Stegostoma tigrinum: one gene and its partner. The protein of the gene in region 2 interacts with the protein of the main gene of each other region in a pairwise test. Links are inferred from orthologs where the notes say so. Each region holds a gene or a part of one and is shown on either strand. Other genes may lie near its edges.

The links.
Region 1: the proteins of meltf (region 2) and hematopoietic prostaglandin D synthase-like interact in binary tests that used the Homo sapiens proteins (3 or more experiments, as listed by UniProt). The two-hybrid records come from large-scale screens. The link is inferred for Stegostoma tigrinum from reciprocal best matches to the Homo sapiens genes MELTF and HPGDS.

The regions. Positions count from the first base shown.
Region 1 is NC_081354.1:7,139,860-7,146,833, reverse strand, and holds the start of hematopoietic prostaglandin D synthase-like, read right to left. Parts: upstream 3,091-6,974; 5' UTR 2,828-3,090; intron 1,127-2,827; 5' UTR 1,119-1,126; coding exon 986-1,118; intron 1-985. UniProt on the Homo sapiens protein: Bifunctional enzyme which catalyzes both the conversion of PGH2 to PGD2, a prostaglandin involved in smooth muscle contraction/relaxation and a potent inhibitor of platelet aggregation, and the conjugation of glutathione with a wide range of aryl halides and organic isothiocyanates.
Region 2 is NC_081367.1:52,325,859-52,332,910, reverse strand, and holds the start of meltf (melanotransferrin), read right to left. Parts: upstream 3,066-7,052; 5' UTR 2,708-3,065; coding exon 2,653-2,707; intron 1-2,652. UniProt on the Homo sapiens protein: Involved in iron cellular uptake. Seems to be internalized and then recycled back to the cell membrane. Binds a single atom of iron per subunit. Could also bind zinc.

The sequences.
Region 1 (6,974 bases), on a different chromosome or scaffold from region 2:
AGGGAGCAATTGCTGTGGGTCTGGAGTCATACATAGGTTAGAAGATCTCACTCCCTAAAGGAATATTAGTGAACCAGATGGATTTTTTCCAACAATCAACAACAGTTTCATAGTCATAATTGGAGTCTTAATTCAGAGTTATTTTTTAAATTTCAATTTCCACCATCTGGCATGGCTGGATTTGAACTCAGGTCCCCACAACATGAGCTGAGTCTTTGTATTAAAAGGTCTAGTGGTAATACCACGAGGCCATCACATCCCCACATCTAGTTTTCTTTTGAAAGTATCTAAGTAATTAATCTTATAACCTTTCCATTGACGCACATTTGATTTGATTTGATTTTTGTCCCATGTACCCAAGTACAGAGAAAAGTTTTGTTTTGTGTGCAGTACAGCAGAATGTGCAATGCGCATTCCACATTCTAACCAATTACAGTATAATTTTTCCTTATTTCCCTCCTGTCTTTGTTACTGTTATTAAGTATAGGGTCCCTACATGCGAGCTGACGTGTGAAACACTCTCCATGTCTACTTTATCCAATGCATTCATAATTTAACCTGTATCAGTTTCATGATTTCTCAAATGAGAAGTATTAGAATGTATCTTTAGTAGTGGGAATTTTTGTTGAAAACCAGGAGTAAACCAACAAAGCAAGAGAGTGCATATCGTGTGAGGAAAGAACTCAGTTTCCCAGCATTAATCTCCCTTTAATTGTTCAGCTGGCACAGAGTTCAAAACTTACCTGCTCTTTGGCCCTACCAACTGATTAAATCAAAGCAGAGTCCTAATATCAAACAACTATTTAAACTTAAGTTCTGATATAAAGTCACTCTATACAGGGCAGACCAGAATTGCACAGCATCTTCCAAATTTAATTTCCATTCATGGGATTTGACAAGACAATGGGCAAAACCAAAAAAGGAAAATGAAAATAATTTATTCTTCCAAAGCTTGCAAATGTTCTTTGCAAAGTGTGCTACTTACATTTTTTTATATTAGGCCAATCCATTATGTCAATGGTGTTGTCTTGGTAGTTTATTCCACTGTATGCAAAAATATAACGAGCAGTCTCAGCTCGCCCTCTTATTTTAAAGTAGGTCAACTTGTAGTTTGGCATGTTTCAACCTGTCAGGATCAAGCGCAATACAAGTTTCTATGTAAATGTGTCATAATCTTTCACATGAACACTGGATTTTTATCAGGATCCTACAATTGGCTCAGTCAAATTTTTGTCAAGAGGTTTGATTACACCCGAGGAGCATAAATATATAAAATGTTGCTGGCAGAGAGAATCACTGTACATTACTTAATTGCAAGCCAAAGATTGAATTCTTATTTTCTAATACCTCCATGATTTCTCCTCTTCTTGGCAACCTCCTCCAGCCCTGCAACCTTCCGAAATTTGGCCTCTTGAGCATTCCCAGTTTGCATCACTTCCCATTTCATGCTTTCAATTTGACTAAATTCTGCACTTCTGCCCCTAAACCTTTCATTCTTTCTCTTAAAACTGATCTCAAAATCTGCATACCCATCTAGGATATCTGGTCACCTATCCTAATATGATCTTACATAGTTCCATATCAAATATGTGACTTATATTCATTCCTGTGAAGAATTTTGAGGAGTTTTATTATGTTAAAGGTGACACATTAAACAAGTTGTTGTTGGTTAGTTGTGTCAAATAATTATGTCACTGATGTAGGCAGGGATATGACAGGAATCATGCTAGACTTCAATATTAGACCAGGTTATTGTTATCCATGGTGCTCTTTCTGGATGAGTACCAGTTAATCTTCAGGGACAGAGGATGTGCAATATCAATGTTTCCTCCATTCCCTACTATCTAAGAATTTTCTGGAAAATATATTTCCTTTAAATTTTTAACTGAGGTACACATTTGAATTGTATGAAACCAATGCTGTCCCAATAAAATTTTTGCTGATGACAATTACAACTTAATACTACACAAACTAAGGGGGTTAAATAATGAACACTGTTTTTACTTTTGATCCCTGGAATAGTCTTGTTTCTGTATTAGATGTGAAGGATTTCAAACATATCAGGTGCAAAATTAAGTCACCCTGACTTTTGGTCATGGGGGAAAATGCTGTACCCATTCAGATCGAGCTGGAGAGATCTTTCTTTTGTCAGCCAGTCTGACGTGAATGATTTCAATGCAATCGTCTGCAGTTCCATTGCTTTCTCTTCTCAGTGCAACCAGCAAGTTCCTTACCAAGAATCTAGCACAGGCAACCTGTTTTATTTTTATCAGGAAAAACAGGAAGTTGGATAAAAATTGCTCCAACAGAAATTCTTACAAACTGAACGCCAGAGCACAATTTGGGATCCTAACAGACAGAGGCTACAGAGGCACTGTCTCTGTTGCTTCTGTGTCTGTTTCATCCATTGGATGGGCAGTTCACCCATCTCTCTCATCCCTTTGAGGATATCTCCCTATTCTATGGGTCAACGTGCCTCCAAAATCCATCCACACTGCCACACATTTAAGAAGCATCTGGAAAAGCATTTACAATGCCAGGGCATACTATATAATAATGCACGTAAATAGAATCACTTTGGTTTGGTGTTTGATAGTCGATATAGACATGGTGGCCTAATGGCATGTTTCCATGCTGCATGACTCTATCGCTATGTTTTTAGACATGCTAGAAACGTTAACTCGTGTTTTTCTTTCGCAGATGCTGCCGGACCTGCTGGGCTTTTCCAGCAATTTTGTTCCAGTCCTTACAAAATCTGCCCCCTCCCCACAGTCTCACATGAACGCAATTCCTAAACAGGATAGATAAGTGCGGAAAAGTTGCTGACCTACTTACAGCTGACGAAGCGTTTCCTTAAACCGAAATGATCCTGCGACAGAACTTGCAATCAGATAGACAAGCTTGTGCCCCGGAGATTTTCCTGATGCTGCGTACGGAACTCCGGCTGAGTGATGAACGATGTGGAATGCAGATAAAGTCGGAACCAGTCTTTAAATGCTGGGTGCACCATCCGCCCAGCGAGGCTGTTCCCAAGGTTACTGGGGCGGAGCATGGAGCAGAATTCGTGGAAACCGAACACATGAGCAGAGCACTATCAACGAAGTTTCAAAGTGACGCAGTGATAGTGCGAGACTCCCACCCACTTAAGACGCGGAGTCCTCGGTTCAACTCCTACATACTCCGCCAGTAATATTATCGCTGGTCAGCCTGATTTGGAAAAAATAGGTCAATAGAGCTTTAAAATGATCATATTTCAAGTAATGCGAGTGGGGAAAGGTGTGCAGTTTCAAACTCACCTTACAATGGCTCTGCCCGCATTCGAGTTAAAGAAGGTCGTTCGGCCCATGGTGTTTGTTCTGTTACTCTGAAAGAGCTATTCAATTTGTCTGATGTAGAACCGCAGATCAGGGATTTCAGTTTTTTTTACACTGAATATTTACTTAGTCCTCTCCTTTAGATAAAAACCGAAAGAAATGCGGATGCTGTAAATCAGGAACACAAACAGAAAATTGTTGGAAAAGCTCAGCAGGTCTGGCAGCATCTGTGAAGAAAAAAAATCAGAGTTAACAATTCGGGTGCGGTGACCATTCCTCAGAACTGCAGGGGATTGGGAATGTGGTGTGGTCGGGTAGCGGGGTGGGTGGTACTTGTTGGGGGTTGCTGAGCAGAGAGAGATGAGTGGATAGTTGGAGATGGAGCTCAGGGAGAAAAAGAGATATGACAGGGATAGGCAGACGAGGAGATTACTGATAATAAGCCAGGACTGAAGAGCAGCTGAATAAGTGAAGATGAGAGCTGAGGGTGTGAGAGAATGGGTTGAGTTGTGCTAAAGCAACTCATGCCCTGAATGGCAGGACGGAATCAGACTTTAAAATTATTGAAGCCTGGAGGCTGAAGGTTCCCCAACTGGAAAACGAGATGTTGTTCTTTCAGTTTACAGTGAGGTTCACTGGAACACTGCAGCCAGCCCCACATAGACATTTTTTCCCAGGGAATATGGTGGTGCATTGAGGTGGCAGGCAACTAGAAGTTCAGGGTCATTTTACTGTCCATTTCCCCAGAAGAATCAATACCAAATCCCCCACCACAAACTGGAAAGCCACGGATCTCTCCTTCAAATTCAACCCTTTTAATCAAAGAATGCTCAGAGACAAAGTAGCTGTAGAATTTGTTAGGCCAGATGTGAACATTTTCATTGCAGTTGGTAGTAATGGGTTGTACAAAGTCAATGCCTGGAGTTCATCTGAGAAGGACTAGAAAGATCCCACATAAAAATGGACAGCACCAGAAGATCAGTTGTACGTGGGAATCAAGTTAAAAATTCATTGCTTTGAATTGATGCCCTAAAGGCAAGACCCTCATGAATTTGTTGATCAATTTTGTCAGAGGATATCAGAATAAGGGGAACAGATATAACTAATCAGCAATTGTGAAAGCAGATAACAGACTGCTCCCACACGATCTGAAGTGTTCCAAAGAGACCTCTTGGAAAAGATAACAGCATTAGTTCATTGCTATTAGTGACAGAAAATATGACGACATCGTGGCCAGACAACAGCACCTGCAAGCATGAGGTGTAGCAAACTGTATTGACGTTTGACAACTCACAGAAAGCAAACAGGTTGTGTGGCAAGTGTTGTCTGTTGCATCCATCACAAAACTGTCCTGTATTCCAACACCTGGCCACAGCCCACAGGCTCCTTGGTCTGTGGCACTCTAGACACATGTGTTAAACATGAGGGATATACTGTGATTGCACGACCCCCTGGTGCACAAGGAATAGCAATTATGATCAAAGCAGATCCCACAGATTTCTCAGTAACTTCCCCCAAAATGTCAATGACACGGCAGGTTATGAAATCTCATTGTACTTCACTAGAGATTACAAATTTTTACTCGTGCAGAAATTCCCACTCAAGAAATATTACATCACCCACTCTCTGTGTCTGGCTTTGTTCTGATCGACCATCTATGTCTTTGCTGACGTAGGCTCAGAAACTGCAATCCAGTGCATATTCACAGACATAACTCGTACTTCTGTTGGCAGCTAGTTTCACAGAGCTAAACCTTTACTTCTGTCTTTCCCTGAAATCTCATTTAGCTCAGCAACACCAAGCAGACATTATTGGTTGCTTTACAATCCCCACTCTGTCAGCTGCAGTGAATATTAATACCACAGGCTACTTCCAAGTTTTACATATTCAATCACAGGATATGGCCAGGCTGGCATTTATTGCCCGTGCCTAATTATCCAGAGGGCAGTTAAGAGTCAACCACCTATCGTCACATGTAGGCCAGAGAGGGTAGGGATGGCAGTTTCCTTCCCTAAAGGACGTCAGCGAACCAGATGGGTTTTTCCAACAACTGACAATACTCATCATTAGACTCATAATACCAGAATTCTTCGAAAGCATAATTTCAGGTTCCATCAGAGAGATGGTGGAGGGTTGCTTTTCAGACTGGATACGTGACCATCAGTGTGTCAGAAGGATCAGTGCTGGGTCCATTGCTTTTTGTCATTTATATAACTGATTTGGATGTGAACATAGGAGATATGGTAAGTAAGTTTGCAGATGGCACCAAAATTTGAGGTGTAGTCAACAAAGAAGAAATTACTTCAGAGTACAACAGGATCATGATTAGATGAGCCAATGGGCTGAGGAGTGGCAGATGGAGTTTAATTTAGATAAATATGAGATGCTGTATTTTGGAAAGGCACATCAGGCTGGGGTTTATACACCTAGAGATAGTAAGAACTGCTGATGCTGGAGTCAGAGATAACACAGTGTGGAGCTGAAGGGACACAGCAGGCCAGGCTGTATCAGCGGAGCAGGAAAGTTGATGCTTCAGGTCAGGATCCTTCTTCAGTAATCTGAAGAATACCACAGACTTCTTTCAAGTTTTATTTATTCAATCACAGCATATGGCTAGGCTGCCATTTATTGCCTGTCTCTAATTGCCCAGAGAGCAGTTAAGAGTCAACCACATTTTTGTGGGCCTGTAGTCACATGTAGGCCAGACCAGGTAAGGATGGCAGTTTTTGAAGAAGGGTCCCGGCCTGAAACATCAACTTTTCTGCTCCTGTAATGCTCCCAGGGTGTATACACTTAATGGTTAGATCCTGGGGAGTGTTGCTGAACAAAGAGATCTTGGACTGCAGGTTCATTGTTCCTTGATAGTGGAGTCACAGGTAGACAGGATAGTGAAGAAGGTATTTGGTATGCTCGCCTTTATTGGTCAGTGCATTGCGTATAGGAGTTGGGAGGTCATGTTGCGGCTGTACAGCAGATTGTTTAGGCCACTACTGGAATACTGTGTGCAATTTTGGTCTCCATGCTTCAGGAAGGATATTGTGAAACTTGAAAGGTTCAGAAAAGATTTACAATGATTTTGCAGGGTTTGAGAGTTTGGGTTATAAAGAGGGTTTGGATAGACTGAGATTATTTTTCCTGGAGTGTCAGAGGCTGAGGGTGACCTTTATAAAATCATGAGGAGCATGGATAGGGATAAGTATACAAGGTCTTTTCCTGGGGTGGGGGAGTCAAAAATTAGAGGCTTAAGGTGATAGGGGAAAGATTTAAAAGGGACCTAAGGGGCAACTTTTTCACACAGAGGGTGGTGCATAAATGGAATCAGCCGCCAGAGGAAGCTGTGGAGGCTGGTACAATTACAACATTTAAAAGGCATCTGGATGAGTATACGAACAGGAAGGGTTTAGAGGGAGGGATAATGGGAACTGCAGATGCTGGAGAATTCCAAGATAATAAAATGTGAGGCTGGATGAACACAGCAGGCCAAGCAGCATCTCAGGAGCACAAAATCTCCTGAGATGCTGCTTGGCCTGCTGTGTTCATCCAGCCTCACATTTTATTATCAGGGTTTAGAGGGATATGGGCCAAATACTGGCAAATGGGGTTAGATTAATTTAGAATATTTGGTCGGCATGATGATTTGGACTGAAAGATCTGTTTCTG
Region 2 (7,052 bases):
TTAACAGTTTAACATTGGCCCTGTAGGCTGTAAATTATACTATCAAATAAATCAAAGTTCAAGTCTGCAGCAATTTAGTGATGCTTTTGCTTGAGCAAGTCTAATTGTGAGTCTAGCAGAGTACTGGCAAGGCTGTATCTAGTCTGGTCAACCAGAAGAGTGTGGTGACAATAGAGTGACTTGCATTTCAGAAGGCAGTTAATTGTCAACCACAATACTGAACATGTATACCAGGTTTGGCAGACCAGTGAATTTCCTTCTGTAAAAGATATAACTGGGCGCGATGGAATTTTATAGCTAGTAAGTAGCATCAATATTCTGATCCTAGATTTTTCCATATTTATTTAAATAATTTAATTAAAATTCAGAAACCGTGTTTAGGGTTAAACACACCTCTAGACAACCACCATGCCCTGACAAAGGTCCCTGAAGGTGTATAGTTGGCTGCTGAACAATAAATAAGGGTCTGCGTTCACTGCATTCTGAATTCTTGGCAGCATTGTAATGAACTGAAGGGTTTTAAATCGAATCAGACTAAATGATGTGCTTTTAAATCTCTGCTAGACTAGGGCTAAGTCTGAATCTCACCTCCATCTCCTACACCTATGAACAGCTGCCACTCTTCCATTAGACCAAACCAAATGGTAACAGGAGGAGGCCGTTCAGCCGCCTACATCTGCCAGCCCATTTTTTCTGCACTCACTCCTCAACAACCTCACTTTCCAAAGACCCACGCTCACTTACTCAACATCCTCTTCCCAAACTTTCCTCTTGCCCACTCATTCAGCAGCCCCATTTGGCAAATTCCCTTACCCCATTCACTTTGTAACTTGAAATAGTTTGATCACGTTGACTGCTTTGGCAGTGTGCACGCAGAAATCAGCTGACCTCACCTACTTGGAGTGTATTTGGACCAACAGATACTGCTCTTGCATTTACCAATAGTACCACCACACCAGCACATACACTCATGCCCTGTCACTCACTTAACCACCATCTCTGCTCTACTGATCACAGATTGTTTCTCTCCAACTTGTATTACTAAAAGACACAACTGTACCTCGCTGGTGTCGCTATTAGTAGCATATGTAAGAGAGAACCTGCAACTGTGGGAAACTGCAAGCAAATGGCTGATGTATGGCAGTGCCACCGTAAGCACCAATGACAGTGAGCTGCATTTGGAAAACTGACTGAGAGAATGGAAGGCTTGTAAAAGGTGGGAAAACCTCCTATCCATGAGAGTCCACAATGACACAAATAAGGGCAAAGTACCCCTTAGAGACATCAGCTGCACCTACAGGGGTACATATTCCTCGTTTTGGGAGCCACTGTCTTAGAATGTAATGGTGAATATGCATCTTATTCTCTGGCAAAATAATGCCGGGGGATTTGAAGATTTGATAGTCTACGTCTGCATCTGACTCAACATATGCTTAAATTCTGCAACTATCGAATCCATCAGATCTCCGGTCTTCAAAGAATTCTGCAACAATCATGAAGAACGAGCATAGAATTCATTTGTTGTTGTCCAGGTTAAAGAAAATACATTGAACAAAGACAACTGTAAAGCTTATTTGAAGTATTGATGCAAATCTGCAAGAACTGGCCAGCAGAGGCATACAGAATCCTCCGAGTCAGCTTCTCCTCAGGTTGTGAAAGAAAGTATACTGCCTGCCGCCTGGGCACGAAACTGGCACCGTGGAATGGTCACCAATTATACAGATTGTCTACTTTTCATTTCCACTAAATTTCCCTTGAAATCTTTGTGGAAATTTCATCTAATTTAATCAAATGGATTTGCGTTTACATCGAATTAATCAAAACCTAACAGTAGCAAGCAGCTTATAGAATTTTGAACACAGACGCAAGATGGTTTTTAGAAAACATTTTTTTTGTGCTTGATGTTTCAAAGCCAAAATTCAGTTTTTCGCCTCCAGCCTGGAATTTCTTAATGGCTGATCACTGGAAATTGAAGTGTGTGGATTGGCGGGCGCGGGGGGGGGGGGGGGGGAGAGGTAGGGGTAGTAATCTTAAGTGCTTTAGTGACAGTGATAGTTTGGATTCCACATTGTCAAACAGTAACATTTGGATTAACAATACTGATGGCTATTTGTCCAAATTCCTCGTGTTTTATTCAAGATGCAATGAGACTCTGCTGGTCGATTTGGTGGATTACGTGTGGTACGCCTTGATTTTCAGATGTAGAATGAGTCGATGTCTGTCAATCCAATGATAATCGCGAGCCTGCATCCGAATCCCTGGCAATCGAGTGAAAACTCGCCCGATTGATTTGCGATATATTTCTCCTTCTACTACAGATTCTCAGAATTTGATTCACTCCAGTTTTCCTCCTGAATATGCAGTGGTCCCGGGCAACATCAGGCTAAGGTTGAAAATACACGCAATGGCAAAGGACAGAAAGTTTAGCAATGTGAGTTTTTCACAATTCACACGATACGTATTGGCGAACAATCCCACACCTTAAACACATAAACTACCTCAAATCATTTTGGCTCTAATTATTTTGACACAGTCTACTTGAATTCAGTCATACATCCCTCTCCAAACAGCCGGAACATTATCGACTTTCTTGGCCAGCCTCAGGTTACAACCCAAAGTTTGCATCAAACTGAAAGGCATTTTTGTACTTGCCCAAATTGAAGATGCCGACGAAGGCGCACACAGCCCAGAGAGTGGGTCCCTGCATGTTGCGCTCCTTGTTGAAAACGACCGAAGGCTTTCCCACCGCTTTGACTTCTTCTGCTCCGTATATACCCTTGCGAGTTCCTTTTGTCAAGTTAATGATTACAAGAGTCTGGCAGCCGCTCCGGTTAAGAATCGGACTTTCTCCATTGCACACACTGCAAGTTGCAAAATGTCCTTCAAAGTTGTTATTTTATCGCCGTAATTGTGCAATTTTGTTCTTTCTTTTTCTCCGCAATTCTTCCAATCTAAGAATATCGTCCCAAGACCTATTTCAAAAGCAAACTGCGTGTAAAATGAGGCTAAAGATAGCTGGGCACCGCGATCATAACACGTCTTTCAGACCCCAGTACACTGTAGACTTTGTGCTTCACAGATTTTTTTAAAGGGGTAATGACATAGTTCGCCGTAATTCTGGCCGCGAATGTAAAAACAAGAAAACGATCCCCTAAGTCGAAACAAAATCAAATTCTTGTTAGATTTAGAGTTGTTTAATATTGTAACTTATACCTGAGGCAAAGTTGTATTATGTAAATTATGAAGAATGTTAAAGAATAGTGATTGTGGACAGAAACACCATTTCATAAAAAAGTATTTGCAAACTTTTACTTAAATATTAAAAGTACGCTTTAAGAAGTTGAAGGCATATATTTCAAAAGATGTTGGTAAATATCAATGCTTCACCTGTGTTTAAGGTTATCAGGATGGAATCACAGATCTCCACCTTTCTGGTCTCTGTTATTTCACAAAAGAAGGAATGTTTTGTTTTCCTAATGCTTCCTGAGGTAGATGGGTTTGGGATTACTTTGCTGTGCAATAACCATTACAACAGTTCTGGAGACCACCAGCAAATACTGAAACACTGCAGGGAACCCTCCTTCAAGCCTACAACAACTGTCTGAGGGAAAGCAATGTCACCTTCAGCGTGAAAGGGCAGAGTTTTAAAGAAAGTCTAAGCAATAAGGACAATGGCAAGATTTCTGGCAGAATCAGACAAGAGGCCCAGTGAGGCTCATCTTCTCACAAGTAGCATGAGAAGGTTCCCACGAGCTGGTGGAGAGTTGCCGATTAAAGGAGATTGCAGCTTGTTAAACTGCTTTCTTAAATTTCAGCTTTCTATCTTACCGGACAAAGTAAATTTTGAGAAGACTCAAAGTGAAAACAAGAGTGGGTATCTGGTATAGTCAGCTCACCACTTACTCTGAACAATCTCCAATTTGCATTTGAACAAACTGCAGCTCAGGAATGATCCAAAAGCACCAGCCATATGTATCTCTCATTCTTAGACAATGGCATTCGGTGTTTTTGCCAACCCTTCATAACCATTATGGCACCTCTCCAATACACTGGCAGGATGCTCTGCTGGAAGCACAGATTTACATTACAGAGCACACTGGCAATTTGCATTAAAACACAGCTGATGGGACATTTTGTGCACAGGGATAAGTAACCAGTTCACAGACGGAACCGGGTACTTGGTGGGTTTCTTTGCTTTTGCTTAATTAGAGCCTACCTGCTTGCTCACAATAGCTATGCCTTGCCTTGCTGTCCCAATTAGCACAATCACACAACCAGCTGGCTTACTTTGCTAGTTCACAGTTCTCATCAAGAGGTATATATTGTGCTACATGGTAGAGTGCTCCAGCAATCTCATGCCTTCACTATGTGCCAACAGCTTATGCAGCCAACATGCAAGTAGCCATGTCTTGAAGCCTTGGAGAAGTAGTCCTCAATGAAGACAATCAACGAACTCATCAGTCACGGCTCCTAACACAGTAGGTAGCCTCACATATCTGTCAAGGGAATTGACCACTGTCAGGCATCTGCTCAGGTGATCTTGATCAGGAGCCCATGACTCTGCAGTCCAGAGAGTGTGTCACGGTCAGTTCTGTAACTCCATAGTGGACAGTCTGGGTTTACGGCTAATGCAGCTGGGGAAATGTACATTTGTCAGTCAGGGGTGTGGGCAATTTTTGTTTTGGGCTGTCCAATTGAGTCACTCAAGGATCAGGATATGGCCAGTCCATTGACTCTGTGTGCAGATTCTAAGACGAAAGGGGCTATGCCACAGGAATGAGACTTGGGAAATTGTCTCTAGGACTGGGAGCTACTGCCTGGGGGAAGGATGGGGTAGAGGTGGGGAAGGGTTGGGGGGAGGTGGGGGAGATTGGTGGGTAGGTGGAATGACAATGTGAAGGAGGTCGACTCAGTCTGCATGGGAGGTATACAGTAAAATATGAATGGGAAGGGGTTCAGGTGGAATGGCAGTCTGTCCACGGTCAGAAGCACCCTAACTGCAATAGATGTGGGGGGCCTGGCACTTTTAGTCAAGAGCTGTGGGGCAAAGGAAGGCAGATGCAGATGCATGTACATGGGTTGAGTGGGAATCTGGAAGGACAAAGTCCTTCCTGTAAACTTCATAGACTATCTGGAAGAGAATTTATATGTTTGGAACTCACTGACATTGAGACAGTGGTTGTAAGTCAGTGGTTGAACATTACTTATTGTCATCTTTCATTGTGCAGGAAATCTAAATGATGATTGCAATAGAGAAGAAAATGGCTGCAAGCATTCTTGGAGAGAACAGGGTAAAGATGTCCTTTGAGTGCCAGTGTGTTTAGGGCATTTCTTGCTTGGCCAGCTGTGGATATTCCACAGTGAGATGCCCACCAGCATGTAGTCCCACACTCACGAAGCCTTACATTCCCACTGAGGTGTCAGTAACTGAGCTCATGTGGGATGCTTAAAGCACGTTGCTGATGCTTCTTTTGAGGCCTTGGTACTCGTTTCTCAGAGGTCCAGGAGTTATGGACATGCTGGGTGGTACCTGCAAAACATAAGAGAGAGAAGGTGTCATAACCAGTGATTAGAAGTACTGTGCAATGAATGGCACTGACCACAGTTTTACTGGGAGTGCTGCAATGGATGAAGAGAAGTCATTCAGGATTGGTGGGGTGCAAGCTGAGAGGTGAGAGCACAGGTGAGCGAAGAACTCAATGTAACTTGGACTTAGCCAAAAAGAATAGGATTCAGATCAGAGGACTTTACTTAGTACATAGCAAGAAACATAATACCTTACAGGTCACTTGACTTTCTTTCTATAACATCTTTGAATTGAGCAAGCATGGAAAGCTATGATAGAGACAACTCTCCCTTAAGCCTTTGATTTTTTTTTTAATCAGGTATCTACTACTTGCTGTTGGCGTCAAAGATTTTCAGATAAATTATCTTTATCAACCTTAATCTCACATAAACACTCACTCCACTAAATTTTCCAATTAGGTTTAGAGACTATAAGTTCCAATTTAGTCTAAATTAAAGTCAAAACATCTCTCTACTCAAGTCTATTCCTTCTCAGGGATAGAAGACAACCCATCAAGGTCACAGTCTCAAGGGTGTCTCATTAACTGAGACATGCCTTTCTTTATCTGAGTCAAACAAAAGCTATTAAGCTAAGAAGCAAACATACAGCCAGATATGTCAAGATGCTTCATTGTTTTGGAGGTCATTACGGCTACCAACATGGCAGTGTGATGGGACTGATACCAAAATGCTGAACTCTTCCAACATAATCGGTCAACAAAATTGACTCCTTTGTGAATTACAAACAAATTTGCCATTTTAACAGTGAAACATAAGACCATAAGACATAGGAGTGGAAGTAAGGCCATTTGGCCCATCGAGTCCACTCCGCCATTTAAATCATGGCTGATGGGCATTTCAACTCCACTTCCCTGCACTCTCCCGGTAGCCCTTGATTCCTTGTGAGATCAAGAATTTATCGATCTCTGCCTTGAAGGCATCTAACGTCCCGGCCTCCACTGCAATCTGTGGCAATGAATTCCACAAGCCCACCACTCTCTGGCTGAAGAAATATCTCCTCATTTCCATTTTAAATTTACCCCCTCTAATTCTAAGGCTGTGCCCATGGGTCCTAGCCTCTCTGCCTAACGGAAACAACTTCCAGCGTCCACCCTTTCTAAGCCATACATTATCTTGTAAGTTTCTATTAGATCTCCCCTCAACCTTCTAAACCCTAATGTCTAATGAATACAATCCCAACACCTCAAGCTTCAGTCTTGAATCCATGGTTTTTAGTCTTTCTTTATCAGTTTAAGAGCAAACATTGTAACAGAAGGTGTTGCTTATTATCAGCATGTAGAAAGATGTCTGTAAAATGAAAGTGTATCTCCAAAGAGAGGAAGAAAAAGATCTTTCCACAGTTAGGATTACTGGTATATGCCTGTACCAGTTAGTATGTCAATTAAATGTACATCTTTCCTTGAGACCAAGGGAATGAAGTTTAAGGAAGCAAACCGTGACACAGTCACAGAGCATAGAAGGAGTCA